2 linked regions of the Coturnix japonica genome follow. The protein of the gene in region 2 purifies or fractionates together with the protein of the main gene of each other region. This does not show direct contact. Links are inferred from orthologs where the notes say so. Each region holds a gene or a part of one and is shown on either strand. Other genes may lie near its edges.

What was found. Proteins that work in one complex are often made in the same cells at the same time.
Region 1: the proteins of SMARCD1 (region 2) and ACTL6A purify together in Homo sapiens (affinity purification with mass spectrometry; 8 studies listed by BioGRID and IntAct, with this or other methods). This does not show direct contact. The link is inferred for Coturnix japonica from reciprocal best matches to the Homo sapiens genes SMARCD1 and ACTL6A.

Annotation. Positions count from the first base shown.
Region 1 is NC_029524.1:15,353,769-15,358,815, reverse strand, and holds the start of ACTL6A (actin-like protein 6A), read left to right. Parts: upstream 1-1,315; 5' UTR 1,316-1,453; coding exon 1,454-1,478; intron 1,479-2,451; coding exon 2,452-2,528; intron 2,529-2,748; coding exon 2,749-2,923; intron 2,924-3,527; coding exon 3,528-3,628; intron 3,629-4,763; coding exon 4,764-4,861; intron 4,862-5,047.
Region 2 is NC_029544.1:344,216-349,262, reverse strand, and holds part of SMARCD1 (SWI/SNF-related matrix-associated actin-dependent regulator of chromatin subfamily D member 1), read left to right. Parts: intron 1-155; coding exon 156-198; intron 199-295; coding exon 296-418; intron 419-687; coding exon 688-816; intron 817-1,303; coding exon 1,304-1,420; intron 1,421-1,750; coding exon 1,751-1,852; intron 1,853-1,949; coding exon 1,950-2,111; intron 2,112-2,221; coding exon 2,222-2,319; intron 2,320-2,752; coding exon 2,753-2,888; intron 2,889-3,206; coding exon 3,207-3,359; intron 3,360-3,593; coding exon 3,594-3,695; intron 3,696-3,919; coding exon 3,920-3,973; 3' UTR 3,974-5,047. UniProt on the Homo sapiens protein: Involved in transcriptional activation and repression of select genes by chromatin remodeling (alteration of DNA-nucleosome topology).

The sequences.
Region 1 (5,047 bases), on a different chromosome or scaffold from region 2:
TACCAACACAACTGCAAAACAGTGGGAAAAAAAAACAAGGCTAAGACAGCTAACAGCCTGAACTTCCCTCCCCAGATCCTCCAGGCTTCTTTGCACAGATTTAGTCTCTTATCTTTGCACTCACCAAATCCTGAGGCTTCCAGACAACAGCAGGACTTGCAGCATACATTCAGTTCTCACTATCGGCACCAGGCAATTGCTGAGCAGGAAAGATTGGTCGTGCACAGGAACGCCCTCTCCCCATGCTGCACAGCCACACGCCTCTTCTGCTGGCACCACTGGGAGATCTCAAGTGCTGCAAAAGTTACAGATAAATGAAGCAGCAGACGGCTGTCTTGGTGTCTCACAGAATGACCTGGGTTGGAAGGGACCTCAAGGATCATGAAGTTCCAACCCCCCTGGGCCCCCTGTCTCACCCACAAAGCTATCATAAGCCACTCTTGGGGAGAGCAGGGTCTGCCCCAAAGCATCAGTTACCACAGGGATGTTATGAACCACTATGAAAACAAAGCCCAAGTACAGGCACAAGCTGAAGAAACGTCCCCCAGTGTTTTAACACCCATTTTGCTTTACAGCCTTCCCCAACTGCAATTAATTCATCCTTCTCCACCAACTCTACCTTGGGTATTAGTGCCACGTGCTAGAAATCACTATAACACATTAAAGGGCACCATAAAATAAATCAAAGCACACCAACATTACACAGTACAACTAGTGGCAAAGAAAGATTTGTGCTGATCTTCCTCATGCAAACACCTATAAAACTCTTTGAAAAGGCTGACAATAGCAGGACATGGGGAAATGGTTTGAAGTTAAAAGAGGGAAGATTTAGGTTGGATGTTAGGGGGAAGTTCTTCACTAGGAGAGTGGTCAGGCCCTGGAACAGGCTGCCCAGGGAGGTTGTGGATGCCCCGTCCTTGGAGGTGTTCAAGGCCAGGTTGGACGGGGCCCTGGGCAACCTGATCTAGTAAAGGTGTATGTTTGGTGGCCCTGCCATGCAGGGGGGTTGGAACTACATGATCCTTGTGGTCCCTTCCAACCCGGGTCATTCTGTGATCCTGTGGCACACCCACCTCAAGAGCTCCTCCCTCAGCTCCTCCCTCAGCTCCTCCTCCAACTCCTCCCTCAGCTCCTCCCGCCCCTCTCTCCTCACACCGCCCTTCCCGCGCACTGCACCTACACTTGCTTGCTCTCACTCTCCTCTACCAAGCTCCTCACTTCCCGCCTCATGATTGGCTACTCATAAGCAAGCCCCTCCTCCCTCCCTTCTCTGATTGGCCGCTGTGCCCACTCAGCCGTTCTGTTGGGTAACGCTCTGCAGTGCGGGCGGGTGGGCGGACGGCGGCGGCGCTGCCATTGGCGGGAAGGCGCGGGCCTGCGAGCTGCGCTGAGCCGGGCGGCGGGGCGAGAGACCGAGTGCTATTGTTAGCACAGCGCTGAGCAGCGGGCAGCCATGAGCGGCGGTGTGTACGGCGGAGGTGAGTCTGATATAACGACACTGTTGAGCTCCCTCAGGCCCGGCTCCCTCCCGCCGCATCGCTCCGTGTGTGAGGAGAGGAGGCCGCCGCGGGCCCAGGGTCCGTCCGACCCGTCTGGGTCACCTGCAGGGATGGGGCACACACAGCAGTGCCAGGGTCTCACTGCCCTCTCTGAAAAATTGCCCCCTAACATGCGACCTAAATCTCTTCCTTTAGTGTGGAACCATTCCCCATCGTCCTGTCACTATCAAACCATGTAGAAAGTCAGTTTCCCTCTTGTTTATAAGCTCCCTGTAAGGCTGCAACAAACTGTCACTGGCACCTTCTCCAAGCTAAGCAAAGCCAGCTCCCTTTCTCCATAGCAGAGGAGCTTCAGCCCTTTGATTGTCTTGACCCTCCTCTGGACTCACTCCAACATCTCATTCTTATGCTGGGGGCCACAGGCCTGAATGTGGTACAACAGATGGGACTTGGCGAGGGCAGGGCACAAGGGGATGGTCACCTTCCTTGCTCTGCTGGCCACCCCTCCCCTGATGCAGCTCAGGATGCTGTTGGCTTTCTAGGCTGAAAGCACACACTGCTGGCTCATGTCCAGCTGTCTGAGTCTCAAGTCCTGTGCAACACCTTGTACGTGGCCTTGTTGAATGTCATGAAGTTCATGTGGACTCGCTTCGCAAGCCTGTGTTTAGATGCAGCTCTCGTCTGTTAAAATTGCCCTTTTTCTTTTGCCAATGAAAGGTATTGCAGTGTCCTGGTTACAGCCTATCTGTAACCTCCTGGTGGCTCTCAGTTAGCTTGAATTCTGAATAGAGAAATTGCTCTGTGTCTCAGGAAAGATGCTTTATCATATTGGGCTTTTTTTTGTTTGTTTGTTTGTTTTCTGGCAAGCAAAGCAGACAAGAGATAAGTTCAGGTCAGGATTGCAGTAGAGCACAATAACCATTCACTACTTCTTTGTTAACAATCTTTGCAGATGAAGTTGGGGCTCTTGTTTTTGACATTGGCTCGTATACAGTGAGAGCAGGCTATGCAGGCGAAGACTGTCCAAAGGTAAGAATCTTTATGAACTCAGTGGGATTACAATTGGAGCTTGAACTTGTTTATTAGTCATAAGCTTCCAGAATATACTGTTTATTATTATTTAAGGAAAACTCTGAATTTTATTAGCCCCCTAAAAAACAAACCAATGAAAAACAAAACCAAAAACCAACAAAACAACCCACATCCAAAATGAATAACCTTCATCAATATTTTACCTTTTGCTTTACAGGTTGATTTTCCAACAGCTATAGGCGTGGTGCTAGAAAGAGACAATGGCAGCACTCTGATGGAGATAGATGGTGACAAAGGCAAACAAGGGGGCCCAACGTACTACATAGACACCAATGCCCTGAGAGTCCCAAGGGAAAATATGGAGGCCATTTCACCTTTAAAAAATGGAATGAGTATGGTGCTCTGTCTTTTTTAGCTGTCTTTAAGATACAATTGTTAGGCTGCAACAAGTCATAGCTTTCATGTAAACAGATGCTATCCATGTCAACTGTTTTTTCCTTTGGACTTAGAAAGCAGGCTCGTAAAGAAACGGTTCTGCTTTCACTTAAGATATTTTAATACGATAATGAGCATTTTTATGTCTTAATGGGAGACTTGTAGATTCTTGTTTATTTGATGGCTTTAATTTAGCTGTCTCCTTTGATAAAACAATTAAGAAACAAGTTTTTGGAAATAGTTCCTAATATTGTTCCTGTAACGTGTATGGACAGAGGCTATCAGCCATAAGAATGGCTCAATTTACAAAATGTCAGTGGACTTTTATTGTAACTTATTTATTTATTATTATTTATAATAACAATTCTTATTTGCTGTCATGATGCTTAAAAAAATATAGATGAGAATTTGGCAAAGCAGGAGGGGTATAGGGCTGCTGAGGACGGCTTTTGTCTGAAGAGCTCTTAGGAAAAAAAAAAACATCAGGAAAACTTTATGTGGATTTATGAAGTAGATCAAAAGTTAGAAGTAACTAATCTGCTTGCTTCGATGTCGTTGCAGTTGAAGACTGGGATAGTTTCCAGGCAATTTTGGATCACACTTACAAGATGCATATTAAATCTGAAGCGAGTTTGCATCCTGTCCTTATGTCTGAAGCACCAGTGAGTAAAAGGAGCTTTGCATTGTGAGGAGACTTATCAGTATCTTCTTGCTGAATCTATAGACATTAGTCTTGGAGAAACCCAGCACTGGCTTGTAGGTTATGAGTGTTAAAACTGAACTACAGAAGTAACATTTAAAAATATCATGCAGGTTCTGGAAAGTATTCTCAATAGGAAAAATGTCAAAAAAAAGCCCAAATTTGAAAGAATTTCTATGCGTTTCATTAGAACACACTTACTATGTGTTACTGTATTTCATGTATTTAAAAAAAAAAAAAAAAAAGTAGTATAAAATCAAAAATAACCTCACTTGACAGCACAGAATAAAAGCAAAAAGTTGTCTGAATGTCTTCATATATTACACTTAATCCATCTTTGCATGCAATCAGCCTGCCATCTAACGTGACAGGGAATAACACGTGTAGTGGAGTTTTAATTTCGTTTCAGCAAATGCTCCTGTAACATAAATGAGGTGCATGAACACAGATTTCTGGAGAAAAACGTGAACAAAGTTTCTGTCATTTAGTTGTGGAAGTGCTGAGTCACAGCTTGAAGCAGTGATTGAGCACCTCAATCACTGGGCAGGGCCAACTCAGGGATGCATTCAATGTACCAACCCCTTCCTAGACCTAATTTAAGGGTTGGCAGTGAGAGTCTTTTGTTGGGGATCCCTTTTACCTGAAGCTTCTAAGGATAAGTAGTTTTTTTTCCTTCATGTCTGTGTCTATGGCTGCTCTATTTGGGCTGGTTCTCATTTGCTGTAGCTGAAGGCTTTGCCACTCTGTTGTTATTGCTGTCTATCACATTAGAGTGTTATGCTTGAGGGGCATAAAATCTGAAGGCATTAAAGTAGACCTGTAATCCAAGAGTTTTGCCTACTTTCTGTAAATTTACTGTCTGTGCACTTATATTGAAGATATGTATTAATGTTTTGAAGTAGTATTAGAACAATACAGTTTCTAAGGAAATAAATTATTAGGAATCTGTTTCTCTATAGAATTTTGATTTAATTTGAAATTACAACTTAAATAATTCCAATTACTTCCTTGCTTTGTTTGCTTTCTTTTATTATGCTCAAACAATCCTCAAGATAGGTGTATCTTCTTATTTACTTGCTTGTATTTTCTTTTTCTAGTGGAATACCAGAGCAAAGCGTGAGAAGCTGACGGAATTGATGTTCGAACACTACAACATCCCTGCTTTTTTCTTGTGTAAAACTGCTGTTCTAACAGCGTATCCTTTGCAATATTGTGCTGGGTTTTTGTGGTTTTTATAGGACCGAAATGCTGTCATCCAAACTACTGAATACTGTAACTAGACATTGATGTTCCTATAGCCTTAAGATGAATATTTGTAGCCTTATTCAAGTGCTAACATGTTTTCACCTTTAGAATCTAAATGAGTTGGATGCGTATTTAG
Region 2 (5,047 bases):
TCCTTGGGGATGTATTAAGGCGATCAGCTGCTGCAGGGCTGAGAGCATTGCTGATGCCCTGGTCCTAAAACACAAACCTCATCTCGCTCCTTTTGTGAACGTCCAGTGTTAATTAGCAGAATGGTTGCCATTTTAATGCTCTCCTTACTTTACAGTGCTAAAAAGAAGAAGATGGCAGACAAAATTCTACCTCAGAGGGTGAGTGGCATGTGCAGTTGACAGCCTCTGCTGATATGGAGATGTGGGGGAACTGACAGTGATTTGCATTCTTGATTGGCTCGTGTTCTGCTTGTAGATCCGTGAACTTGTGCCTGAGTCTCAAGCTTATATGGACCTGCTGGCCTTTGAAAGGAAATTGGACCAGACGATCATGAGGAAACGCTTGGATATCCAGGAGGCTTTGAAACGACCCATTAAGGTAGGAGAGGGACATTCAGAGACTTACTGTTATCAGAAGAGTAGGAGGGCTTTGAAGGTTGTGTCATAACCCTATAAGCATAGAGAGAACTGTAATGCCCAGGACTTAAGTGGGGGGGTAGAACCAAGACTGCCTCTCTCTGTGCTGTTTGTCCTGAGAGTGGATGTATGAGGAAAAGAAGAATATTTAGCTTAGTTTTAACAAAACATAAGCATGATTCTCATCCCTTTGCTTCTGAATGAATACTGAGCTGATGCTTTTTCTTGTAGCAAAAGCGAAAGCTACGTATTTTTATCTCCAATACCTTCAATCCAGCCAAGTCGGATGCAGAGGATGGTGAAGGAACAGTGGCCTCCTGGGAGCTTCGAGTAGAAGGAAGGCTGCTAGAAGATGTGAGTGTAAGGCACCCAACTGCAGAGCTGATTTGATGGGTCTGGAATTGGAAATTGAACCAGTTTCTTAGTGTCTGGGAGTGTAGCTAAGGGCTTGATATCCTCCTTCATCTCTGTTTTCCAAGGAGTCTGATGGTGACGAGACCGAGAGCCCAACTCGGAGACCGATGGGTATCCCCATGGCAGAACATGAGTTATACAAAGTTCTTATAGCTATAAGAATTAATGGTGAGAGCCGATCAGTAGCACTTGTGTACCCTGGCTCTTAGAACCAGGGCACTCGCATTTTATGTAATTGCTGAGTAAGTTAATTCCTCCAAGCTCATCTTTATCTCCAGTCTTTCACCATTTTTGACTTGGAACTTGATTTTCGAGCATGTGTTGATGAATGTAAGTGTTCACAACTTAAAGGAACACTGCTGTGCACCTTGCCTGTGCTTGAGTCCTGGAACTTGCTCTCCTGACTCTCTCTTCCTTCCTGTGTTGCTTGCAGTCTGCTTTGTCCAAATACGATGCCACCAAACAGAAAAGAAAGTTCTCATCCTTCTTTAAATCTCTGGTCATTGAACTTGATAAAGACCTCTATGGCCCTGACAATCACCTGGTAGAGGTGAGCTTGCTTCTTTTTGCTGTATTATCTCTACAAATGGGTTGTTGTTCCAGCAGATTGAATTTGTGTGTAGTTGGTAACTTGTGAAGTGGGATATTTAAGGCTTTAACAAGTGGCTAGGTGCCAGGGCTGAATTCTCTTGAATTCTTATCTTAGCTTTTCCACTGACTTGCCAGGGCTCTGAATAAATGCATTAACTCTTGTTTCAAACTATAAATGGGAATAAGATGAATCTTCTGTCGTGGGGGAGGTTGGGTGGCAAGCAGCGGGAGCAAAAGGAATCGAGCGTGTAGGTGCAGCTAAATCCCCCTCCTGTTGCACGTATTCCAGTGGCACAGAACTGCTACAACTCAGGAGACAGATGGCTTCCAGGTGAAGAGGCCAGGAGATGTCAATGTGCGCTGCACTGTCCTTCTGATGCTCGATTACCAGGTGAGATGCTGGATAGCAGTGCTGGGCACACGTAGCGTTTGCTATGCTGTATCTGTGGCCATAGTCCCCTCTCACCTCTCTGTGCTTTTTCTTTCAGCCTCCCCAGTTCAAACTGGATCCCCGCTTGGCTCGTCTGCTGGGGATCCACACTCAGACTCGCCCAGTGATCATCCAGGCTTTGTGGCAATATATCAAAACCCACAAGCTCCAGGACCCCCACGAGCGGGAGTATGTCATTTGTGACAAATACCTCCAGCAGGTAACGGGATTTGTGGTGGGAATGAGCAACTGCTTCAGCTTTTCCTGGTCAGCAGACAGCTGTTTGGCACAGCTCCTGTTCCTTCCCTTAGCCTTGTGTTTCTGTCACAGATATTTGAATCTCAGCGGATGAAGTTCTCTGAAATTCCACAAAGGCTTCATGCACTGCTTATGCCCCCGGAACCGATCATCATTAATCACGTGATCAGGTGAGGCTGCTTTACTTGGCTTTTTATTTATAAAAAGAAGAGAACAAAGAATGGATGGGGCTGGCACAGAAAAATGACGTGAAGAGCTCTGATTTTTCAGTAGTAGTTTCCCTGTGTTGCCTGCCATTATTTCTTTACACAGGAATGGGCACCTCTGACACTTACTGTATCCTTCTCTTTCACAAGGAACTCATACTTCCTTTGCATTACCACGTATGTGGGTAGAAATTTGCTTGGAACAGTCACTTGGTCCTTATGCAGCAAAGACATCAATAAAGCTTCGCTGTTTGGTGTTAGAGATGAACCTAACGCTGGCTTGGCTTGTCCCTGCTGGCAGTCCTTATGCTGTACCACCCTAAAGCAGTCACAATTTGATGAGTTGGCTTCTTGAATGACTTACTCTTTCTGGTTCCTTTCTTGTGGATGCCCCCAGTGTTGATCCTAATGACCAGAAGAAAACGGCCTGCTATGACATTGATGTGGAGGTGGATGACACCTTGAAGACTCAGATGAATTCATTCCTGCTATCAACTGCCAGTCAACAGGAAATTGCTGCTCTGGATAACAAGGTAGGAAGAGCTCCTTCAGGTGTGCCATCCTCTTTGCTAGATAGGAGTGTGTCTGTGGAGCAAGATAAGCTCTGATTGTGACAGTTCAGATTTGCTCTTTTGGGCATTTGGAAGTTGGAGTAGGGCAACAATGGGTAGATAGATGGCTTTACCTGGAAGCAGAGTTTTAAAGCAAATGGTCAGTGGAAAAACCAGTAACCTTTAGAGAAGGAAGTTAGGAGCTGTGAATCCTATCTGATAAGTCAGCCAGAGAGTATAAGAATTCACCTTCACACATTGGATCTCTTTATGTTTCTCTGACATTTTTTCCCTATTCAGCAGTCCCGATGCTGTGCTTATCTCCTCCAGATCCATGAAACAATAGAGACAATTAACCAGCTGAAGACCCAGCGTGAGTTCATGCTGAGCTTTGCCCGAGATCCTCAGGGCTTCATCAATGACTGGCTCCAGTCCCAGTGCCGGGACTTGAAGGTAAAAGCTTTTCTTGTGTGGAAGGTGGATCCAGTCACATGCTTCCCTCATTATAACTAGCTCCCACAGAGAGAGAAAGGCAATTTCCTGCTTAGAAAGCAAGACTTGAACTGAAATCAAACATAAGGACCTGACCTGACTGAACTGAAGTTTCTTTGAGGCAAAGGGGGTGCAGTTTTGTTCAGCACAGAGCTTTTGTACTCCCTGAACTGCTTTGTCCTTTGTGCTTTCCAGACGATGACTGATGTTGTTGGGAATCCTGAAGAGGAGCGTAGAGCTGAGTTCTACTTCCAGCCATGGGCTCAGGAAGCTGTGTGCAGATACTTCTACTCCAAGGTGAGTGTCTCCAGGCAGGGGTTCCTTCCAGACCCGGTAGCTTGGTGTACCTGCCACTTCTTGGGGCTGATGCCCTGGTGAAAAAGGAGCAGTGTTAAGCCTTGCTTTCAGACACTGCTAATGCATTATGATCCCAGTTTGTGTTCAGCCCCATCCAGATGGTCCCTGTGAGACTTGAACACTGAGCTGCTGTCTTTGTTAATGTTGCAACTCTTCTCTTCCAGGTCCAGCAAAGACGGCAGGAGCTGGAGCAGGCCCTGGGAATCCGCAACACATAGGTCCTCATCTCCTCCCCAACCAGAAGGCATCAGAGCTGCTTGTGGAGACAGGGTGCTGCAGAGCACGCAGTTAAGGCTCACATAACCACACATAACTGTGGTGCCAAGGCCTGCACCGTCATCCATCCTGGCACTGTCCCTGCTGGGGCAGCTCTAGGACACCTGGGGTCTTCTGGGGTGTGGCAAGCAGACAGGCTCCAACAAGTACACACTTCTACCTGGTTTTCTTCCTGACTGTTGCCTTGTCAGTCCCAAGGCTTCCAAGAGCCTCCCCTTGACTCCGTGCTGCCTGTAGTGTCCCCAGTAGCCAGTATGAATGCTGACTTGGAGTTCAGAAACTCTTCCTCTTCCCATTCCTTTTCAACTAGCATCTAGTTGTGGCACACGTGAGACCTGACTCTGGGAAGCCAGGATCTGCTCAAAGGGTGGAGTTCTGTGGCTAGTCTGGTCTCTGCCTCTGTTAGTAGCAAGGTACCAGGAGATGGAGTGGGCAGGATGCTGACCTACCTCCAGCCCTCCCCTCCCTCGCTGGGAGGGGGCTGCTGCACTGGGCTGCCTCACAGGTCACTCTCCTCCTTGAGGAAGTTACTGGACTGTATAGAGAATTGTTTCTTCCCTTGTCCCTTTTTCCCTGTCCTGCTCCCTCCTTGTTTATGACAGACTGCCTTGAGCTGGGAATCACAGGGGAGATGAAGCATTGTCTTATGGCAGAGATGTGGAAGTGCTGAGAAAAAGACTCTGCTTATGGTTCCAGCAAGCCAGCTGGCTGCTTGCTTTCCCTGTAGTGGGGAGGGAATGGAGTACCTGCCCAATGCAGTTGTGCAGGGGCAGAGTGTTGTATGCTCATTCCTTTGGGACAGTTACCGTGCATCATTTGCTGTGGGGACCAGAGGCTCCTTCCTGTGGATCTGGGAGTGTGGATCCATCACTTGGGAGTGGAAGTAGCCCCGAGTATGTATGAGTTAGCAGATGTTTCCATGCTGAAGCTCCTGTGTTTTTTAGTCAAGTTATGGATCAGGAATGTACAAGTAGACTTTCTTTACCATGGGGAGTAGCAGCCCCTTATACCTCTTT